4 linked regions of the Rattus norvegicus genome follow. The protein of the gene in region 4 purifies or fractionates together with the protein of the main gene of each other region. This does not show direct contact. Links are inferred from orthologs where the notes say so. Each region holds a gene or a part of one and is shown on either strand. Other genes may lie near its edges.

Region 1 (4,620 bases), on a different chromosome or scaffold from region 4:
TTGGCATACAAGACGAGGGAGCCGCTGGGCCACCACTCCGCAGCCCCGAACAACTTCGAAGTTCCTGAGCTGCTCCGGGAGGCGTTCCCAGGGTCAGGGGCGGCGAGCGAGCCGCTCCCGGCCGGCCCTACCCTAGCTGCCAGGGCCCGGCTCGCACTCACCTGGGCCGTAGGCCTGGCTTAGCTGCGCCCGAGCCCGGCCCCACACCGCCCGGAACCCCCGCAAACGACCTCCGAGTGCCCCAGCCCCAAGCCTCGGACCGCAGTCCGAGCCCCGGCCGCGGGACGCGCCTCGTCGAGGTTCGCCCACCCAGGGCCCCGCGCGACGACCCCCGGCCCGAGCCCCGCCGCCTAACCTGTCTTCGCTCTTGTTTTTCTGTTTCTTCCCCATCGCTTGTCAGCGGCGCTCGTGGCCACGGCCCCTCGGTTCGGTGTCTCACAGACCCACTGTCTCCCAGCCGACTCCAATGCCCGCTCGGCTCGGTCCCCCTCGCGCCGCCGCCTCTCGCACCCGGCTCTCCACAGACCCGCGCACTGGGACAGGGCACATATGGTGTGAGCCCTCAGTACGCAAGCGCATCGCCCCGCCGCCTCGGCGTGGGGACGCAGGGCGCGGCTCATCGAGAGCGGCGCTTCGGCTAGAGCGTCTGGAGTTGACCCGCCGGCCAGGTGGGAACTCGAGCGCCCCCTAGCCGCAAGTGAGCGCCGCGCACCGACGCCCAGCAGCTCCCGGGTTCTAGAACCTGGAGGAGGACAATGAGGCCGTTCATTTCCCACTGTCAAGCACCCTCCCCGGGGCTGGCATTCGACGCCGAAGTGGGACTGAAAACTCCCCTCGCCTCAGCTGCGGGAAGTCCACTGCAGGACCACAAGGAGCCAATGATGAGCTTTCTGGGGTTGGCAGGACCAAAAACAGAAACAAAAACAAAAATACCAATTCAGACACTGAATTGTCAACTGTGTACTTCTATTAAGGGAAAAAGACATAAGGGCACAGCGACCGGACCCCTAATATGAATCTTCTCATGAGCAAGTTCTAAAAATGCATGTGTGTAAGATAAAATGGGGAGGGAAGATCCTGGAGTGGTGAAATTTTTCTCCATATGTTTTTGTGCACTGTTATAGTGTGAGCTGTGTACAAATTTATAGCATACTGGAAGCTACACTTTAGAAACTATTAAACGCAAGGCAAACGAAGCCCCTCTGTCACTCAAGCGCAAGACCCGGCTCGTTTCCACGTAGCTTTGCGAGCTGGGACCCGCAGTCAGTGCATAAAAACTACATTCCCCAGCGTCCTTAGCGCCCATCCCTCCGGCCATTAGCCCACGTGAAGTGTAGGCTCAGAAGTCAGTAGTTCCGGGTGGCGAAGGATAAGAGCTTCTCCGAGGCTTTCGTCACTCTCCACCGCCCCTTCCGCAGGTTATATCGCGAGAGGGCTGTAGCCAATGAAAAGGTGGAGCTGACAGCTCATTCGCCGCCCTTAACAATTGCTGTGAGGTTGAAACCTGCGTGAACCTGGTCGGTGCTCTTGGTCTGCGGCTCCCTCTCTCCGTAGGCTTCACCAATAATCCAGGTACGGCAGAGGGTTCTGTAGCCGATCTTGCCACTGCGTCCCCGTGTAGATGAAGGACACACATCGGCTGCACATCCGGCTGGGCTGGGGGCGGCTGGGAGGGCCTCGTCTGGGCGGCTGCGGAGGCTACGGCGCATGCGCCCCAGTTAGTGCGAACTAGCGTCCTCCCCACCCCCCGGAACTCCTCCACCAGTCCCTTGAGCTCAGGGAGTGGCGAAGAGTCCGCTGACAGGTACACGGGGTTAGGGTTTCGGGTAGGAGTTTGTAGGGGAACAAATAAGTGTCAGCCCCCCCAGTTCATCGGTAAGAGTAATACTTAACAAATAGAAAGTTATGGGGAACCACTAAGCTACACATCCTTAGCCCCACCTAACCCAGCGCAGCACTTATTAGTCTCATGAAGCTCTGAATTTAAACTTAAAGGTCTGTGAAAACCTCAGGGATAAGCGACTACTATGCCCTGTTAATGGCAGATTGTGAGTAGCTGGTCTCGGATCCCTTCATCTAGATCTTCCTGAAGAGTCACAGTCTTATTGTATCTCTCCTCCCCAGGTTAGGGAACCTGGGGATACAGCTTTTAAGTTGTATAATATTCATGAGGAGCTGAAAATTGAGGCTTAGAGGGTAGTTTAGGGATTTTTTTTTTAAAATAAATGGTCTTATGTAGTAGCCCAGGCCTGTCCTCCAAATATATCCAAGGATGGTCTCAAACTCCTGATCCTTATGCTTCTGCCCTTGAGAACTGAGGTTACAGTCATAAGCCACCGTGCCCAGGGTTATTTTGTGTGCGAGTTGATTAGTTTTAGCTGCCAACTTTATGCAGTAACTTACAGTCACCTGGGAAGAAAGACTCATTGAGAAATTGGGTAAATCAGGTTGGCCAGTGGGTATCTTTATTCTGGGGCCTACATGGCTGAGTTTTAAGGCCAAAATGATGCCTCCAACATGGCGCCTGTTAAGGTCTCAGGCCTTATAGAGACCCTGTCTTTTAAAGAAAAACAGAAACAAAACAAAAAGAAAACAAAAACAAAAAACCCAGAGTGTAAACTTAATACTTGTTTTTTTATGAACCCCTCCCCTCCCCCAGCACCAAGACCATTTAGGAAAATGGAAGGAAATGGATCTATCGACATGTTCTCAGAAGTCCTAGAAAACCAGTTCCTCCAGGCTGCTAAGCTAGTGGAAAATCACTTGGACTCTGAAATTCAGAAACTGGATCAGATCGGTGAAGATGAGCTGGAACTGCTCAAAGAAAAGAGACTGGCGGCGCTCCGGAAGGCTCAGCAGCAGAAACAAGTAACCTCCGCCTGCTCTCTGAAACCACTGTAACCCTGTGCTCCTGACTGCACTGTGCAGTCATGTGACTTTCCCTCCTCACTTGCAGGATGTTCCAAATTCACACGACACTGTTCAGTAGCTGCCCAGGAATAAAACATTAGGGAAGACTTAGGCAAGATGTACCATTTGACTGAGGCGATGACATGTGAAAGAGAGACATTGAGACTTTTTCTTAGGGCAAGCTTAGGGTCCACACATCAAAAAGAAATACGATGGTTGTGTGTGAGAAAATATTTCTAAGTGTTAGACTTGCGTTTTTATTAGGTTGTCTTGTCTTTTGTGGGAGGGCAGGACAGGAGCAGGATCTCACTGTGTAGCCATGATTGGCCTAGAAATCTCAGACATTTTACCGCTTCTGCCTCCGAAGCGCTGGGGCCCAAGGTGTGCACCAGCACCCCCATTCTGTCTGTCATCTTCATGGCCACTCAGTGACATGGTTGGGTTGTTGCACCCACTTACAAGAGAGAAGGTGAAGTGGAAGGCTCCTTAAAACTGGTCAGTGCGCTTACCTAGGAAGCGCAAGGCCCTGGGTTCGGTCCCCAGCTCCGAAAAAAAAAAAAGAACCAAAAAAAAAAAAAAAAAAAAAAAAAAAAAACGGTCAGTAAATGTCGGATGGGCGTGGCCACTGCAGCCTCCCTTGTTACTTTTCTCCTAACCAGCAGCCTGAAAGGGAGAGTGAGCATCCGTTGAGGTGACAAGCTTTCTGCTACAGGGAAGGGGAAGGGGCTGGAAGAGTCCCAGGCTTGGTTGACAAAGGCCCTGCCTCAGCTTGGGAACCTGAATTAGATGTGAGGCTTTTTTCCCTGGCTTTGGACACCACGTGGGTGGGATACTTTTCCTTCTGAGGACTCTGCTCACTATTGGCTGCTCTAGAAGCCCCGGCCTGTTTTGAGATTACTGTCAGAAGCAGATAGGGTCCTAAGCTTCCTGAGCTTCGATAACTGCACTGTCCCCCAGGGTGGATGGGCTTTATTTCATGAGGTGGTTTGGTTTAGTTTGGTTGTCTGTTTAGTTATGCTGTGGATAGGACATTATTTCTTAAATTTGAGATTGTCATAGGATTATATCATTCCCCCTTCCCTTTGCTCCTTCCAAGCCATCCCATATTCTCCCTTTCACGCTCACAGCCTCTGTTCTCACTAATTGTTGTTACATCCCTATATGTGTGTGTGTGTAGACATACACATTTCTAAATATGCCCTGCTCAGTCTGTAATGTTAACTCGTGTGTACATTTTCAAGACTGACCATTTGGTAGTGGACAGCCAGTTGGCGTGCTTTTCCCTGGAGAAGACTCTTCCTCCCACTCTCAACATTCTTTAGTTGCCTGTGAGAGCATTACTTTCTAAAGTGTAGAAAATAGTGAGTGTGTGTGTGTGTCTCCGTGGTAGAGCTCTCCTGTCTCCTGCTCTTGCTCCTGGTTCAGTCCCTCACATCACAAAAATAAACCGAAAAACCGTTTTGTAATCAAACAACCCTGATTTTATTAGTTTAAAGAGCACACATGTGAAAGTTAAATTGGTATTTTCATGTTATGTCTCACAGACCTAAATTCTGGCTGTGAAACTTAAAATGAAGCAGGTAAATGAACAAGGTGCAGAACTGCCCTAATGAACCCCTGTCATGAGACGGTCACTCCTGCCCACAGACTAGCTCTGCACAATGGCCACTGAGATCCTAGGAAAGCCAACTGCTGAAGGAACACCTGCTA
Region 2 (4,882 bases), on a different chromosome or scaffold from region 4:
TCAGCCATAAATCCATATTCTTATATAGATGATGGCATTTAAAACCTAAGTCACTATGAGTTTATTACAGATGACATTTGTCCAGGATTGGTTCTTTAGTTTGACGTTTGGTTTACCTTTGGTGTAAAATAAGTATGCTTCAATAAATATTACTGTAGAAGAAGTGATATACCATAAATAACAAACTACTAGGACAGCAAAGGTAAAACCAAGATGTGCACTAGAAAAGCGATTCTAAATTTAAACTTCAGCAAGGAAAACCCTCACACCACTATTCACAAGTCTCGGTTCAAGCAATTTATTTTTGGCTAGACGAATCACAGCTGTCAACGCTTTTTTTTTTCCCCACCCTACAATTACATAAATTATTCCGAAAAAAAATATAGACATCTTCAACTTGAAGAGAATTAACTTACAAATGCCGTGTGTCATTATGAATGGTTTTTTTTTCCTTTAAAAAGTCACACGGAATGGGGGGTTAAAAATAAAAGGCAAACAAACAAACCCTGGAAGATGCAGCAGAGCCCCCTTGCTCCCGAAATAAAACTCCTGGTGGCTGTCACAGCAGTGCTACTCCCGACAGAAGTTTTCAGCTGTCACTTCTAACAGCTGAGCGCTTCCTAGGAGAGAAGCGACAGGCCGAGAAGAGAGGTGGTTGTGGGGAGTCTGAAGATTTAAGACTTGCAATCTTACACTCCAAAGGGAAACCCTTCCGCGCCTCACCTGCACTAAGGGGGACACCCAGCAAGATCAGCCCTCCCCACCCCCAGCACACGCTCACACCACCCGGGCCACACTCAAGCCCCACAGCTCCAGAAGCCGACCGCGCGCCTTTTCTCCTCTGCGCTCCTGAAACACATCGCTCGGGGCAGCGCTCAGCTAGGGATCAGGGCGAGACCTGCACCTGCGCGCCCCGCAGAGGCCTCACACCTAGGGCCAGGTCCGCCCGCCCGCTCCCCCGCTCGGCCGCGCGGCGCCTCAGCTCCTACCGGAGACCGCTCGCGTCCCCCCGAGTCTCCGCGCCCTAGGACACACCAAGCTTCCCGGGCCCACGCCGCCACCCCGGCCCTGTCACCTCGCCGCCACCACCCCCCCTTCCCCGGGGACCCCGGGCCTCACCCCCTCCTCCAGCTCATCCTCAGAGCCTGCATCCTCTGGCTGGTCCAGGTCTATGTCAAACACTCCTGCCATGTCCTCAGCTTCCCTGTGTCGGAAGTCAGGCGCTGGGTAAAAGCCGTCCCGCCTCCGTCGTCGCCTCATGGGCCCGGACCCGCCGCAGACTCCACTGCTGCCGCCGCCATCACCGGCTGCTTAAGCTCAATGCGTCTGCGCCTAGGCCCCAGACTGGCTCCTCAAGTTCAGCCCCGGAGCATGCGTAAAAGGTCTTGTGAAGCCATTCAGTGGGCAGCGGACATGCGTAGCATTATCTCCCGGTGCCAGGTACTGGCAGGAACATGCGCAGAACACCAACCGAAGCCAAGCCAGGAAAGTAACAGCATGCGCGTTACTTGTCTAAGGCGTTTGCCGGATGTGGAGCATGCGTACCATATCTGAAGTTGATAAATTGAAATTGAACACGCGTGGTTAGCCTTTCTAAATAGAAGAAGGGAAACGGGGGTTGAAAAAAGACTAACCCTCAGCAGAGCTCTTCGCATAAGGAGCAAGCGCATTTATTTGTGCTAGGTAATTTTTTTTTAAAGTATTGAAAGTGAGCATGCGCATAGTAAGAGGGTTGGTCTCCTGAAGTTTGAACCGAACTGAAACTGCCGGTCGCAGAGCTGTCAGTGAGTGTGGGGTTAACTGGGAGCTGATAGGGAAGAAAGGCAAAGAAAGACACTTGGCTTTGCTATTTGCTAATTTGGTGGCTTGGAAAAGTTACATAACCCTTCGGTAACTCAATTTCCTTAACCGTAAAATGAGAATAGTATTACCTACGATGCAGGCTTAGACGTTAAGTTGAAAGTCTGGTTCGCAAGGCTCTGCTCATTTCCGGGGCTATCGAGACTTGATGTGAAGCATTCGTCAAAAATACTCTATTTTTATAGTCCCTGTTATCGGAGAGGCTGAGGCAGAAGGATTATGTATTTGAAGTCAGCCCAGACTAATTAGTTTCAGGCCTGACTGGGCTACTTAGGGAGACCCTGTCTCAAAACAAACAGTTCTCTTTTGTTGTTTAAAAATAATAAAGCTTTACTTCCATACTTTATCTGGTCTTTCTCTAAGTTCCAACTTTGTTTTTCCTTCTTTTCTTATGGAGACATTGTCTTACTAGGTAACTCTGGCTGTTGTAAAATTCACAGTGTAGATGCAAACTCACAGAGATCGCTCTGCCTCTGCCTCCCAAGTGCTAGGATGAAAGACTTCCGCGCTATGCCTAGATCCAACTTGTTAGTTTGTTTGGTTTTTGGTTTTCTGAGACAAGATTTCTCTGTGTGGCCCTGGCTGTCCTAGAACTAACTGTGTCCTCAAACTCAGAGATCTGCCTACCTCTGTCTCTCAAGTGCTGGGATTAAAGGTGTAGCCACCACAACCGGCCTTACTGATTTTAATTGTGCTTACCAGGCCAGAAGATGGTTGGTGAGAGAAGAATAAATAAGTCATATTTTTGGAAGACAGAAAATTAATGTTATTGACTGTTCTATTGAGCTAACTTCTGGTGTCCATGTAGTGTGAAATGTATACAAAGAATTTCTTCATCACTATATTTCCTTTAGATAATTTATGTGTGTGAGTGTATATGCACATGTGTGTGTGAATGTGATCACTTATGCAAATGCACAGGAGATGAGGGCATCCAGTTATCACTTTGAGGCACAGTCTCTCTCCCTCTCCCTCTCCCTCTCCCTCTCCCTCTCCCTCTCCCTCTCCCTCTCTCTCTCTCAACTTGGGGCTGAGTTTTCTCAACCAAGCTGGAAGCCACCCACAGTGATCCTTCTAGACAGAAGGATTGGACTTGCATCTGTAACTACAGGCCTGCACAGGACACCTGGCTTGTTACCTGGGTGCTGGCAGCTAAACTCTGCTCCTCATGATTACACAGCCCCCACCACCAATGCTTTTGTTGTGGTTTGTTTGTGTTCTTTTAAAAGCATAGTTGGAAAAACAGTGAATGTGAATCATATTTTGGGAACTATTGAATTGTGTGTGAATGAATTTGGGGACAGTAAATACTAAATCCCCCAAGTTATAGAGTGAGGAAATTTCTTTTAATGACTAGATTCTTAGATAGAGACAGGAAAGACTGAGGAACATGGGGAGATCAGGAAAAGGATGCTTTATTCCAAAATTTAGTTGAGGTCTCACCATCCGAGAATCAGGATTCCAGCTCAGAGAACTGGGGAAGATGGCTCAGGGGCAAATTACTCACTATACAAGCATGAGAATCTGAGTATGAATTTCCAGAATCCATGTTAAACCAGATGTGTGCTAACCAGATGGGTGGAGTAATCCCAGTACTCCAATGGAGAGATGGAGGGTGGGGACAGGAGATCCCATAGAATCATGGGCTAGCTAGCCTGATACACAGCTGCAAACAACAAAAGAGAGGCCCATCCTCAGACCTGGTAGAAAGCAAGGACTACACATATGTATATATGATTAATAAAATTTTCTGTGAAAGTTGACTATATAGGAACGTTTCTTTCTATAGGGCTATTTCAAATAAGAACGTTAAGGTGGTAATGAGCCATGCTTATGGCCTAAGAGTATATGATTTCTTACCATATACTGTTTCCAGATGTAAGCTTGCAGTTTTCTCTCTTGAACAAGGCCATGAGCTCCATTTACAGAGAAATATGTTGTAACTCCCTTGTTACAACCTTCGTGTCCTTTGGTTTTACTTGTCAGCCTGTTGACCTCACCAATACATTCTAGGAAACACTTAGTAATCATACACACACACACACACACACACACACACACACACACACACACACACACGAGGGGAAGAAAAACAGATCTCTTGGAAAGTCTTTGAACAGTATAATGTCAAGACAGTAAAATCAGGCTAGAGAGGGCTCAGCAGTTAAGAGAGTTTGCTGCTCTTGCAGAGATCCAGGTTCAGTCCCAGGCATCTACAAGGCAATTGTGATAGTGGTCCCAGATGATATGTTGTGACACCCTCTTCTGGCCCCCGAGGGCACTGATGCATGTAGTCGACAGACATACGTGCACATAACATAGGGATAAATTTCACAGCACTCAGGAGGCAGAGGCAAGGTGATCTCTGTGAGTTTGAGGTCAGCCTGATCTATATAGTGGGTTCCAGGACAGCCAGAGCCACACAGTGAGGCCCTGTCTCAAAAACAAGGAAAAAAAAAAGATTAATTATGTACTTTTAAAACGAAGGCAATAGGGCTGGAGAGATGGCTCAGTGGTTCAGAGCACTGACTGCTCTCCCAGAGGTCCTGAATTCAATTCCCAGCAACCACATGGTGACACGCAACCATCTGTAATGGGATCTGCTGCCCTCTTCTGGTGTGTCTGAAGACAGCTACAGTGTAGTCACATATATAAAATTTTCTAAAAATGTCATTTTATGTTGTATGAGAATACCTGCATGACTGTATGTACACAATATGCATGCAGTGCCTGGGAAGGCCATAAGAGGGTAACTGGATCCCCTGGAGCTAAAGTTTCAGGCGGCAGTGTAGGTGCTGAGACACATCCCGGGTCTTCTGCAAGAGGAGCAAGTGCTTTAGCCACCGGGCTGTCCTACCACCGCTTACTGCTGGAGTATGAGTACGTGGCACGTTGTTTGCCCTTGTAAGCAATGTGGTGGTTTCTTATACCTGTGTCTTTTTCCTTTATAGGTGACCCACCCCCTTGTGTTTTAGGCTAGGCCTCGTTTGTGGCTTGGCATGTCGATAGTGACAGTACAGTT
Region 3 (4,646 bases), on a different chromosome or scaffold from region 4:
AGAGGGCATCGGATCCCATTACAGATGGTTGTGAGCCATCATGTGGTTTCTGGGATTTGAACTCAGGACCTCTGGAAGATCAGTCGGTGCTCTTAACCGCTGAGCCATCTCTCCAGCCCTCCTTTAACCATTATTAAACCATCTCTCTGGCCACTAAGCTACAATTCTTTTTTTTTTTTTTTTTTTGGTTCTTTTTTTCGGAGCTGGGGACCGAACCCAGGGCCTTGCGCTTCCTAGGCAAGCGGTCTACCACTGAGCTAAATCCCCAACCCCTAAGCTACAATTCTTAATTCAAGCCCATCTTAGGACAGCCCCACGACTGGCTCAGCTTTTTACTCTCCTCTAGAGCATCGCTTTAATTTAAAATTAAACTACATAAAGACATATGAATTTTAAATATTTATGGAGTATCATCTTCATAACGAATGCATACATTGCGTTTCACCCACCTACATATATTGTATTCTTTAAACTGGGTTAAACATTTCTCCGATATCGCTTACGGTGAAAACATTCAAAATCTTTCTTTTAAAAAAATATAGGGGCTGGGGATTTAGCTCAGTGGTAGAGCGCTTACCTAGGAAGCGCAAGGCCCTGGGTTCGGTCCCCAGCTCCGAAAAAAAGAACCAAAAAAAAAAATAATATATATATATATATATATATATATATATATATATATATAGAGAGAGAGAGAGAGAGAGAGAGAGAGAGAGAGAGAGAGCGCGCAAATGACCCTTATCTGCAGTCACCTCGCTGTGCGACAGTACACCAGATTGTCTCACTCTTAGTTGACCCCTACAGGATGTCAGTGTAGTCCAGGCTAACTCCTCATACCCCAGCCTCCTCAGTGCTGGAAATTACATAGAGCGTGCCACCATAGATACTGCTCTTCCCTGAAGTATCTATGAGGTAAAATACATCTGTAAAGTGAGAGGAACGAATCGAATGCTAAAGCGGTGATTGGGTAATCAGATTGGGTATTATTAACAGGCAACACTTGGATCTTTGCTCTTGTTAAGACATAAACTGCCTACTTTTTTCCTTTTTATTCTTTTTGTTGTTGTTGTTCTTCCTCTTCGAGACAATGTTTGTTGTTGTTGTTGTTGTTGTTGTTGTTGTTGTTCGAGACCGGGTTTCTCAGCGTAGTTCTCCTGACTGCTGGAACTCGTTCTGTACACCAAGCAAGCCTCTAATGCCGCCTGGCTCGGCCTCCAGCGTGCAAGGATTAAAGGCGTGCGTAACCTCCGCCGGGTTTAAACAATCCGGTTTCTTCTGGTCCAGCACACAAGCGAAGTCCCAGTCCTTAGGGAGTTAAAAGAAAAAAAAACCCTCCCAGCACGCTCCACACGTTACTCCGGAAGAGGTGGAGCAGCCGGGGGCGGACCATGCCCAAGGGGCGGGGCAGTCTGGGGCAGTTCCGGGGGCGGGACAGCCCCCTACTGTGGCAATCCCGAGGGGGCGGGGTAGTTCCAAGGGGCGGGACAGCCCTGAGGGGACAGGGCGGGGCTAAAAGTAAAGCAGCCCTAGGAGAGTTTGGCGCGAAGTTGTCTGTGCCAAGCTACCTGCGACGACGGCGCTCCTTCGTACGTAGTCCCTTCCTGTTTTTCTCCTTCGAGGCTTTTCAGGTCTTGCTTCGTTATTTTGCCATAGAGCTTGGTATCTCTTCACCGAGTACGTCATGGCTCCCAAGAAATGCCCAGAAACCCAGAAGTCCCCCGACGTTGCGGTGCTCCTCAAGAGCAAAAGCCGCAGAAGTCCTCAGGAGCTGGAGCCCGAAGCCAAGAAGCTGTTTGTGCAGGGTCCCGGTACGGCCTGTGCGCTGCCTTAGCTTTCGGGTGGTTCAGGGTGCTCACGCCAGAGGCTGAAGGTGGGGTGGTCGGTGCTTGTGCCTAGGATTCTGAAGCAGTTCCTGGTCCCCGTCACCTCAGGCTGTGATTTTATTTGAGAGATCTAGGGCTCGAACCCAAGCCTCTAGTACGCTCAGCAAGTGGTCTGCAACTGAGCTACACTCATAGGACTGCGCTTTATTTGCCAGTTCATTGACACCAGAGAGTTTAAGTTTAACTGTCACCCCCCACCTCTACCCCAGGTGGCAGTAAGAATCAGATGAGCTCCATCACCATAAAAGCCACACTCATCACTTTTCCTTGCAGAAGTTTTACACATCTGTTTCAAAGTTATCCTCACTTTCATAGACCTTTGATTGCTGAATTTCCATAGTGGGTGTTGTTAGCTGTATGGCCTTGGGTTTCAGCTCGGAGAGTGAAGTCTCCCCCCAACCCCTTTTCTTCAGGAAGCTCATTCTCGTTTACCAGGGCTTGAACCTGGGGCTATAAGGAATGTGGTAAAGTGATATGGTTTTAGCCATGTTCTCATGGGAAGGAAAGTTGTCAAGAGAAAGGACCTTATAAGATTGGGTCCACCAGAAGGGTTTGGTAATTCAGGGTTACTTTGTTTTCATATACTCTGATTTACCTCCTTTCCCTGAAGCAACCTAATCAATTTAGAGCTTTTCTAAACCCTGGTTAATTCTTCTGGTTTCCACTCAAGTAATGGTTGCTCATCACGTTATTTATTTAGTATTTCTGTGTAGACCAGGCTGGCCTCCAGTTCAAGATGTTTATGCTCCAGCCCTCAGAGTGCTAGGATTACAGTTATGCACCAATATGTTTGGATAGCTCTTATTTTAATATAAGATTAAACAAACCTCTTTCCCTAAGCAATTACTCCCATGCTGTCCTAGAAATGTGATTTTAAGTTTGTCCCTCAACTCCTACTAATTTGTCATCCCACACAAGAAAAGTCTTGAGTGTACACTATTCTGTAGCTCCTTGGCAAAGCTCTAAGGAACCCTGAAAGGCCATATTTAGTTTCACTGCAGAATTACTGTTTGGAGGAGTGTTTTGGGAAAGTGTTGTTATTACTTTCTTGGGTTGAGTGATATTCAACAGCAGAGAAAGGCTTTTAGGAGATGATGAGACAAAGGATTTTCAGAGGGGAAACCTTTCCTGAGACTGGGGAGAGGAAAACGTCTATTCTTCTTGGGCAGTTTCTAGTAGGAAATGTGAGTCGTGCTGCCTTCTGGCAGAGTTGTCCAGCTTGCAGATCCCTCCGAGGAGCAGCAGCATTGTCCGGGATCTTTACCAGCAGAAGTTGGGCAAAGCCACCTGGCCGTCACTACAGCAGGTGAGATGTTTCCTGTCTGAGGCGCTCAAAGGTGTACATAGCTTTTCAACTGCTGCCCGCTCTAACCAGACGATGGATTGGTTCAGAATCATCAGGTCACCTCAGATATGATGACTGACCTACTGGACACTCAGTCAAAGAGAAAATGTTTTACTCTGTAGACATCCTAGCTACAACAAGCATTCTCCCTCCTGCTTGCCAGGATTAGTTCACATACATTGCAGATAGTTGATACACAAGGCCAACAAAGACTTACTGCCTACGCACAAAGGAGCCAGAGAGTGACAGTTTACCCAGGACTTGAGTTTAGTTTTTATTAATGTTCTGAGACACAATCTCTGTGTAGCCTTAGCTGGCCTGGATCTCTGTATGTTGACCTGGCTGGCTTCAGTCTCACAGAAATTCACCTACCTCTACCTGCTGAGTAGTGGAGTGAAAGGCATGCACCACCATGCCCAGCTTAGGACATGAGTTTTAATTCAGGGAATCCAGATTAACTCTATTTTCTCTGTATTAGGGTCTCCAGAAGTCCTTTTTGCACTCTCTAGCTTCTTACCGGGTATTCCAAAAAGCTGCCCCCTTTGACAGGAGGACAACGTCCTTGGCATGGCACCCGACTCATCCCAGTACTTTGGCTGTGGGCTCCAAAGGGGGAGATATTATGATCTGGAACTTTGGCATAAAGGACAAACCCATCTTCCTTAAAGGGGTAAGTGGTTACGTGAGCCAGATGGTTATGCTTTAAGGCTGATTGTTGGAGGAATGGAAGGAATGTTGATAGCCAGATGATTGGGGAAAAAAGTAACTGGTTTTAAAACTTATAAATGGCAACACAATTCAAATATGTTTTTAATGATGGTCTTTAAAATATCAGAAGGTATAGACTGGTCTATAAAGTCTAGCATTCCTCTTCCTCATCTTCTCCCTCCTCCTTTTCGTCATCTTCTTTTTGAGATAGAATTTCATTGGTTGGCTTGGAATGCATTGTAGACCAGGCTTGCTTCAAATTCATAGACCTGCCTGCCTTGGCCATGCCTTTCTGTATCCCTTCCTACAAAACCTCATTTTGTCCATCTTTCCTGTGGTAGTTAATTTTTCATTACTGTGGCAGTCCCAGAGAGAAGGGATCTAAAGGAAGAAAAACAGCTGGAGAGTTTTGGCCCATGCTTGTTTGCTCTGTGGGCATCATGGTAGAAGAGGATGGTAGAGCAGTGCGGCTTATCTCAGGAGTCAGAAAGCAGGGAGAATGAATTGCAAGGGGTCTGGAGTAAGTGATTGCCTTGTCCCCTAGTGACCTGTTTCCTCTAACCAGACCCCATGCCCTATTAGCTCATTCATTTGGAAACTCACCAATGAATTAAAGCGGTGATGAAGTTAGCCCCCTCATGATGCAGTTAACCTTTCAATAGTTCCATCATCTGGAGACCAGACCTTTAATATATGAGCCTTGGGTTGGGGAG
Region 4 (4,836 bases):
TAGGTGGACTTTTGGACTCAGCAATTCCACTCATAGAAATATTTCTTGAGTAGCAAATTTCCTATATTATAAAGCTAAAACTTCTCAAAAATACAATATAGCTTAAAGAAAATTCATCAGTCCCGTATTAAAGCACCTCAGGACTAATGTCGCAGAGAACCTATCAATACCCAGAAACACACTGGCTAAGAATCATGTTAAAGGGATTAATAAAGCAGGTATGGAAACAGGCTTGTACTCCCAGCACTTGGGCAGTGAACTTGAGGCTAGTGAGAGCTAACTCTAGAGACCGGAGGCCGAGGGGAAGTGAAGGCCTAGCCAAGGTTCTTGGGTGGGTGGCATGGGTTTTAGCTGCTAGGATAGAGCAAGGTACCAAGATAATGCTCAGGGTTCTCTAGATTTCTTTCCCAAGGGGATTGCGTTATACCAACCCATGATCCACAGCTGAGCTCAGCAGGGCCTCTCTTGCTGCCTTTGTGGCTTCCCTCCAACCCGCAATGATGGTCTGTGGATGGATCTTTTTTGCAATTAAAGATTCCGCTTCCTGCCAATAAACAAGGCACATAAGAGTAACCGAGGATTTGACTACTGCTCAAACCACAGTCCCAGTACTAAGGTGGAATTGCCAGCCGCTCTTACCCGGAGTAGCTCTGCAGCTAAGACAGTAACAGAGGTGGTGCCGTCACCAACTTCATCATCCTGAACTCTTGACATATCTAGGAAAAAAAGCAAAATTATGCCTCCTTATCACTAAATTCTTTTACAACTTCCACAGCAAACCTACACTCCATTTATAGTATGTTCCAGATCTGACTTAAAGCTCTAAATACTTTAGCTTGAATGTACCTCACGAGTTCATGGAAACTAATCCCTGATCTTTTTTTGTCTCAGCACATTATGTCTTTTGTCACATTATGACAGAAAAAAAGACCTCACCAGAAAAGGGCCCACCGATCTTGGACTTGGCAGTTCAGCCAAAGACTCTTGTACCATTTAAAAACTACCTAGTCTGTGGTTGTAGCAGCCATACGGACTATGGATGACAATACTTCTGAATTTCATTTTAATACTGATAAATGCCAATATCTCTCATTTAAATAGTTAACACAACCTGCCGGGAAATAAATTATTAGAAAAGAATAAGAGTAAGTTTCAGACTCACCAACTAGAACTTTGGCTGCTGGGTTGTCAACACCGATGTTTTTGAGAATGGTGGCACCGTCATTGGTCACCATCAGAGAGGCATCCCGTCCACTGCTTAGAAGAATTTTATCCTGAAAGGAAATTTGTGTCAAACTAAGTACTTCCTGAAGAATACCTGCTGACACAGAAACCTCTGAAAGGTTCTTTGGCTACCACGTGCTTTGTAAACCTCACTGTGTAAAATCTTAGAAGTTCAGACAATACAAACTAGCTTTGCTACACCACAAGACTACGAAGCAGACAAATGTCCATCAGCAAAGTTCAAAGCACATCCCACAACATTATACGATAGTTAAAGTATAGCATACTAAAGAAAAAAAAATCACAATGGAACCCTTTCTGTATTAACCAAAAGATCAGTTAAAAACATTAGTACCAAGGCTATAAAAATCTGTTCACATAAAAGGAGGTAGCATGAACTCTGAAAACAGCACACTAAAAGCACATAGACATAAACAAAAAAATGGTATCTGTTATTTAAAAAAATGCATTGCAAAAAAAATGTAACATGACAAACTTATCTGTAAGTGAACCATTGCTACCAGGTTTTGCAAACGGTAACTCTTGCTGCCACTGGAGAGAGATGTGTGATTGGGGATGGTAATACAAAAGGACTTTTTCTAATTTAAAGTTTTAGATTCCAAAACATAAGGGGAAAAAATTATTACTAAATTTACACCAAAAGCTTTAAACCATTATTAAAACTTGTATTTTGGGGGGGTTGGGATTTAGCTCAGTGGTAAAGCGCTTGCCTAGCAAGCGCAAGGCCCTAGGTTCGGTTCCCCAGCTCCGAAAAAAAGGAAAAAAAACAAAAAACAAAAAAACGTACTTTTTGGCCAGCCACTACAACACAAGACCACAGGAAAAGCAAACAAAACTAGAAACAAAAGAAACTTCTAAAAATTTCTTATTTTTCTTACCATGCCCTTCGGTCCCAAAGTGCTCTTCACCAAGTCTCCAATGGCAATGGCACCAATAAAGGATGACTTAAAAAAGAAAAATCAGAAAAGGCGGTCAAAATTTACACTCACAAAGAGTTGGATCTTTCATTTAAAAGAAGCAGACGGGCTTACCAGGCGAGCTGTCTCTGCCCTCTCTTCATCAGCTCCAGCCTTGAAGATATTAACAGGTGCAAGGGAAAGGGAGGCCTAGAAGGAGAAAGTAACACACGCCGTTTGAACGCCAGTACTCGATAAGACACATCTAGGGCCTCTCACTAGATCGGTAAGGTTATCTAAAGGAAAACTGGTTTCCGATATAATTTCAGGAGTCAGTCGTCGGAGTGGGTATTTATTTAAATGGCGAGAGGGACGTTCTTGTAGGCGCCAGGAATAAGCCATCACATCAACCCACTAGTGTTTATGACAAAACTAAAGGCAACATTAAGGATGGGCAAGCACCAACCACCAGTTAGCTACCCTCCATCTTCCACAGGCCTGCACTGCCGCTCGCCCTTCAAGACCCGCCCCGAAGAGGGCGGGGCCGACAAGAGTAGCTAGAAACTTCTCCGCTAGGGCTAAGGCCGGGGGCTGGTCGAGGTACCCTAGATGAGAAGCTCTCATCTTACAAAGAGATGCTGGCTTAGGGCGCGCTCTCCCTTCCAGCCCCACGCAGAGAGCTTGGTCAGCGGGTCCCACGCAGGCCTCATGCCCGGTCCGTGCCATGTGCCGAGGGTCCATGAGACGGCCGCAGGAAGCCTGCGACTCCGGTTAGACAAGAGGAGCAGCGGGGAGGCGGGACACAGCAGGACCCGGGCAGGAGCCGAAGGCCTGGGCCGAAAGCTAGGCTCACCATGGTTCCGACGAATTCAGAGTAGAGGATAATCCCTCACAAGCCGCGCCGGGAAGCCAGCAGGGGGAAAGGAAGGCGGAAGTGACGACACGATCTGCCGCAGGGGGCGGAGCCGACCTGCGCGGGTTTCCGCCTCCTGCGTGGCGGGCTGCTCTCTGTAGAAGGGGCGGGGCCTCGGCTCGTGTTAGCCCAGTAGCGGAAATCATTGAGATGTGGGCGGGGCTAGGGGCGAGCTGATTTAGAATAGAACTGGAGAACAAAGAGACTTTGTACCGCGCGGGTTGCCACGGAAACGAAGTTCCTGCTTAACATACATTTTTAAAATTTAATCTTTCAAAATTTGTTTTAAGGTCAGTTGTACATTTTCAAGTGTTGCACACTAATCATTTCCATTATTTACTCGTCCCGGTAGCAACCATTCCATTTTTCGTGCTTTTTATTTTACTTTGGCAGGGTTATTTATCAATAGACTTCTAAATAATAATTTTTAGCATTATTATTATAAAGGAATCTTCATTTAACTTCTTAGACATGGTCTTACTGTGTAACTCTAGCTTAGCTTGGCCATCTGAGATCCTTCTACCCTGCCTCCACAGTGCAGGTATAAAAGGTGGGCGCCACTACTCCTGCAGTTCATTTAATTTTAAGACACTAATTGGATTTTAACTGCTCAGGACAAGCGCTAGTGAGTCTTAGCTGAGACATTGGCTCTAGTAGTCCAGTTCAGGTTTTCCTCATTTGTTTTCCCTCGGGGTAGGGGAGAGCCCATTATAACTCTTACATGACTTCTCAAAGATCAAGTCCGAAATATTTCAGCTTATTACAAATAGTTTTCTCGGCGCTGGTGAGATGGCTCGGCGCTTAAGAGCAGTATCTGCTCTTCCTGGGGTGCAGAGTTCAATTCCCAGCAACTACATGGAGACTCACAACCATCTGATGCCCTTCTGGCATGCAGGTAGGTGTACATGCATACAGAGCACTCATACATAAACTACATAATAAATCAGTTTTTAAAAAGTTTTCTCTTGGGGCTGGAGAGATGGCTCAGTGGCTAAGAGCATTGACTGTTCTTCCTGAGCAGAGGTCCGAGTTCAAATCCCAACAACCACATGGTGGCTCACAACCATCTGTAATGGGATCTGATGCCCTCTTCTGGTGTGTCTGAAGACAGCAACAGTGAGTGTACTCTTACACATAAAATAAATAATTCTTTTAAAAATATTAAAATGTTTTTCTCTTTGCTCTTGATACCTAAGGCAAAGCCCCAAATGATTGAAAAGAATGTTAGTTTTTCTTTTATCCATTGGTAACATTTCTCTCTTTGATCACTTAGTAAGTACCTAAATTTCTGATACTTGCCAACACTAAGGCATTTTCAATGTTTAGTTATATTTACCCTTAGATATAGTAAGTTCGGGCTGGCGAGCTATGGACAGTCAAATCTAGTTATCAACTGGTTTTTAAACATTATTTGTGAATGAGTACCTTGTTGCTGTGTTCTGACACACCAGAAGAGGGCATCAGATCTCACTACAGATGGTTGTGAGCCACCAAGTGGTGCTGGGAATTGAACTCAGGACCTCTTTAGAAGAGCAGTCAACCACTGAGCCATCTCTCCAGTCCTCCCTCAACAGCTTTTAAAGTCATAGGCACTTAAAATATATATATATTTTTTTTCTGAAGCTGAGGACCGAACCTCAGCTAGACAAGCGCTCTACCACTGAGCTAAATCCCCAACCCCATCACTTAAAATAATTATGTGTGCATATGTATGTGTACAAATGTAAAAAGCCAGAGGACAGCGCTGAGAAACCAGTTTTGTCCTGCCATCACATAGGTCCC

The links.
Region 1: the proteins of Cct2 (region 4) and Txndc9 purify together in Homo sapiens (co-immunoprecipitation; 3 studies listed by BioGRID and IntAct, counting the BioPlex papers as one, with this or other methods). This does not show direct contact. The link is inferred for Rattus norvegicus from reciprocal best matches to the Homo sapiens genes CCT2 and TXNDC9.
Region 2: the proteins of Cct2 (region 4) and Tubd1 purify together in Homo sapiens (co-immunoprecipitation; 3 studies listed by BioGRID and IntAct, with this or other methods). This does not show direct contact. The link is inferred for Rattus norvegicus from reciprocal best matches to the Homo sapiens genes CCT2 and TUBD1.
Region 3: the proteins of Cct2 (region 4) and Ddb2 purify together in Homo sapiens (co-immunoprecipitation; 3 studies listed by BioGRID and IntAct, counting the BioPlex papers as one, with this or other methods). This does not show direct contact. The link is inferred for Rattus norvegicus from reciprocal best matches to the Homo sapiens genes CCT2 and DDB2.

The regions. Positions count from the first base shown.
Region 1 is NC_086027.1:47,714,624-47,719,243, reverse strand, and holds the start of Txndc9 (thioredoxin domain-containing protein 9), read left to right. Parts: upstream 1-1,482; 5' UTR 1,483-1,572; intron 1,573-1,668; exon of another isoform or gene 1,669-1,804; intron 1,805-2,659; 5' UTR 2,660-2,679; coding exon 2,680-2,868; intron 2,869-4,620. Other genes in the region: Eif5b (eukaryotic translation initiation factor 5B), read right to left, coding at 356-390. UniProt on the Homo sapiens protein: Significantly diminishes the chaperonin TCP1 complex ATPase activity, thus negatively impacts protein folding, including that of actin or tubulin.
Region 2 is NC_086028.1:71,863,931-71,868,812, forward strand, and holds the start of Tubd1 (tubulin delta chain), read left to right. Parts: upstream 1-1,744; 5' UTR 1,745-1,784; exon of another isoform or gene 1,785-1,890; intron 1,891-4,811; 5' UTR 4,812-4,859; coding exon 4,860-4,882. Other genes in the region: Rps6kb1 (ribosomal protein S6 kinase beta-1), read right to left, coding at 1,120-1,260. UniProt on the Homo sapiens protein: Acts as a positive regulator of hedgehog signaling and regulates ciliary function.
Region 3 is NC_086021.1:97,660,306-97,664,951, reverse strand, and holds the start of Ddb2 (DNA damage-binding protein 2), read left to right. Parts: upstream 1-1,508; 5' UTR 1,509-1,650; coding exon of another isoform or gene 1,651-1,678; coding exon 1,679-1,805; intron 1,806-3,049; coding exon 3,050-3,186; intron 3,187-3,703; coding exon 3,704-3,895; intron 3,896-4,646.
Region 4 is NC_086025.1:54,588,354-54,593,189, forward strand, and holds the start of Cct2 (T-complex protein 1 subunit beta), read right to left. Parts: upstream 3,053-4,836; 5' UTR 2,998-3,052; coding exon 2,995-2,997; exon of another isoform or gene 2,852-2,994; coding exon of another isoform or gene 2,771-2,851; intron 2,352-2,770; coding exon 2,277-2,351; intron 2,190-2,276; coding exon 2,124-2,189; intron 1,275-2,123; coding exon 1,163-1,274; intron 717-1,162; coding exon 640-716; intron 545-639; coding exon 432-544; intron 1-431. UniProt on the Homo sapiens protein: Component of the chaperonin-containing T-complex (TRiC), a molecular chaperone complex that assists the folding of actin, tubulin and other proteins upon ATP hydrolysis.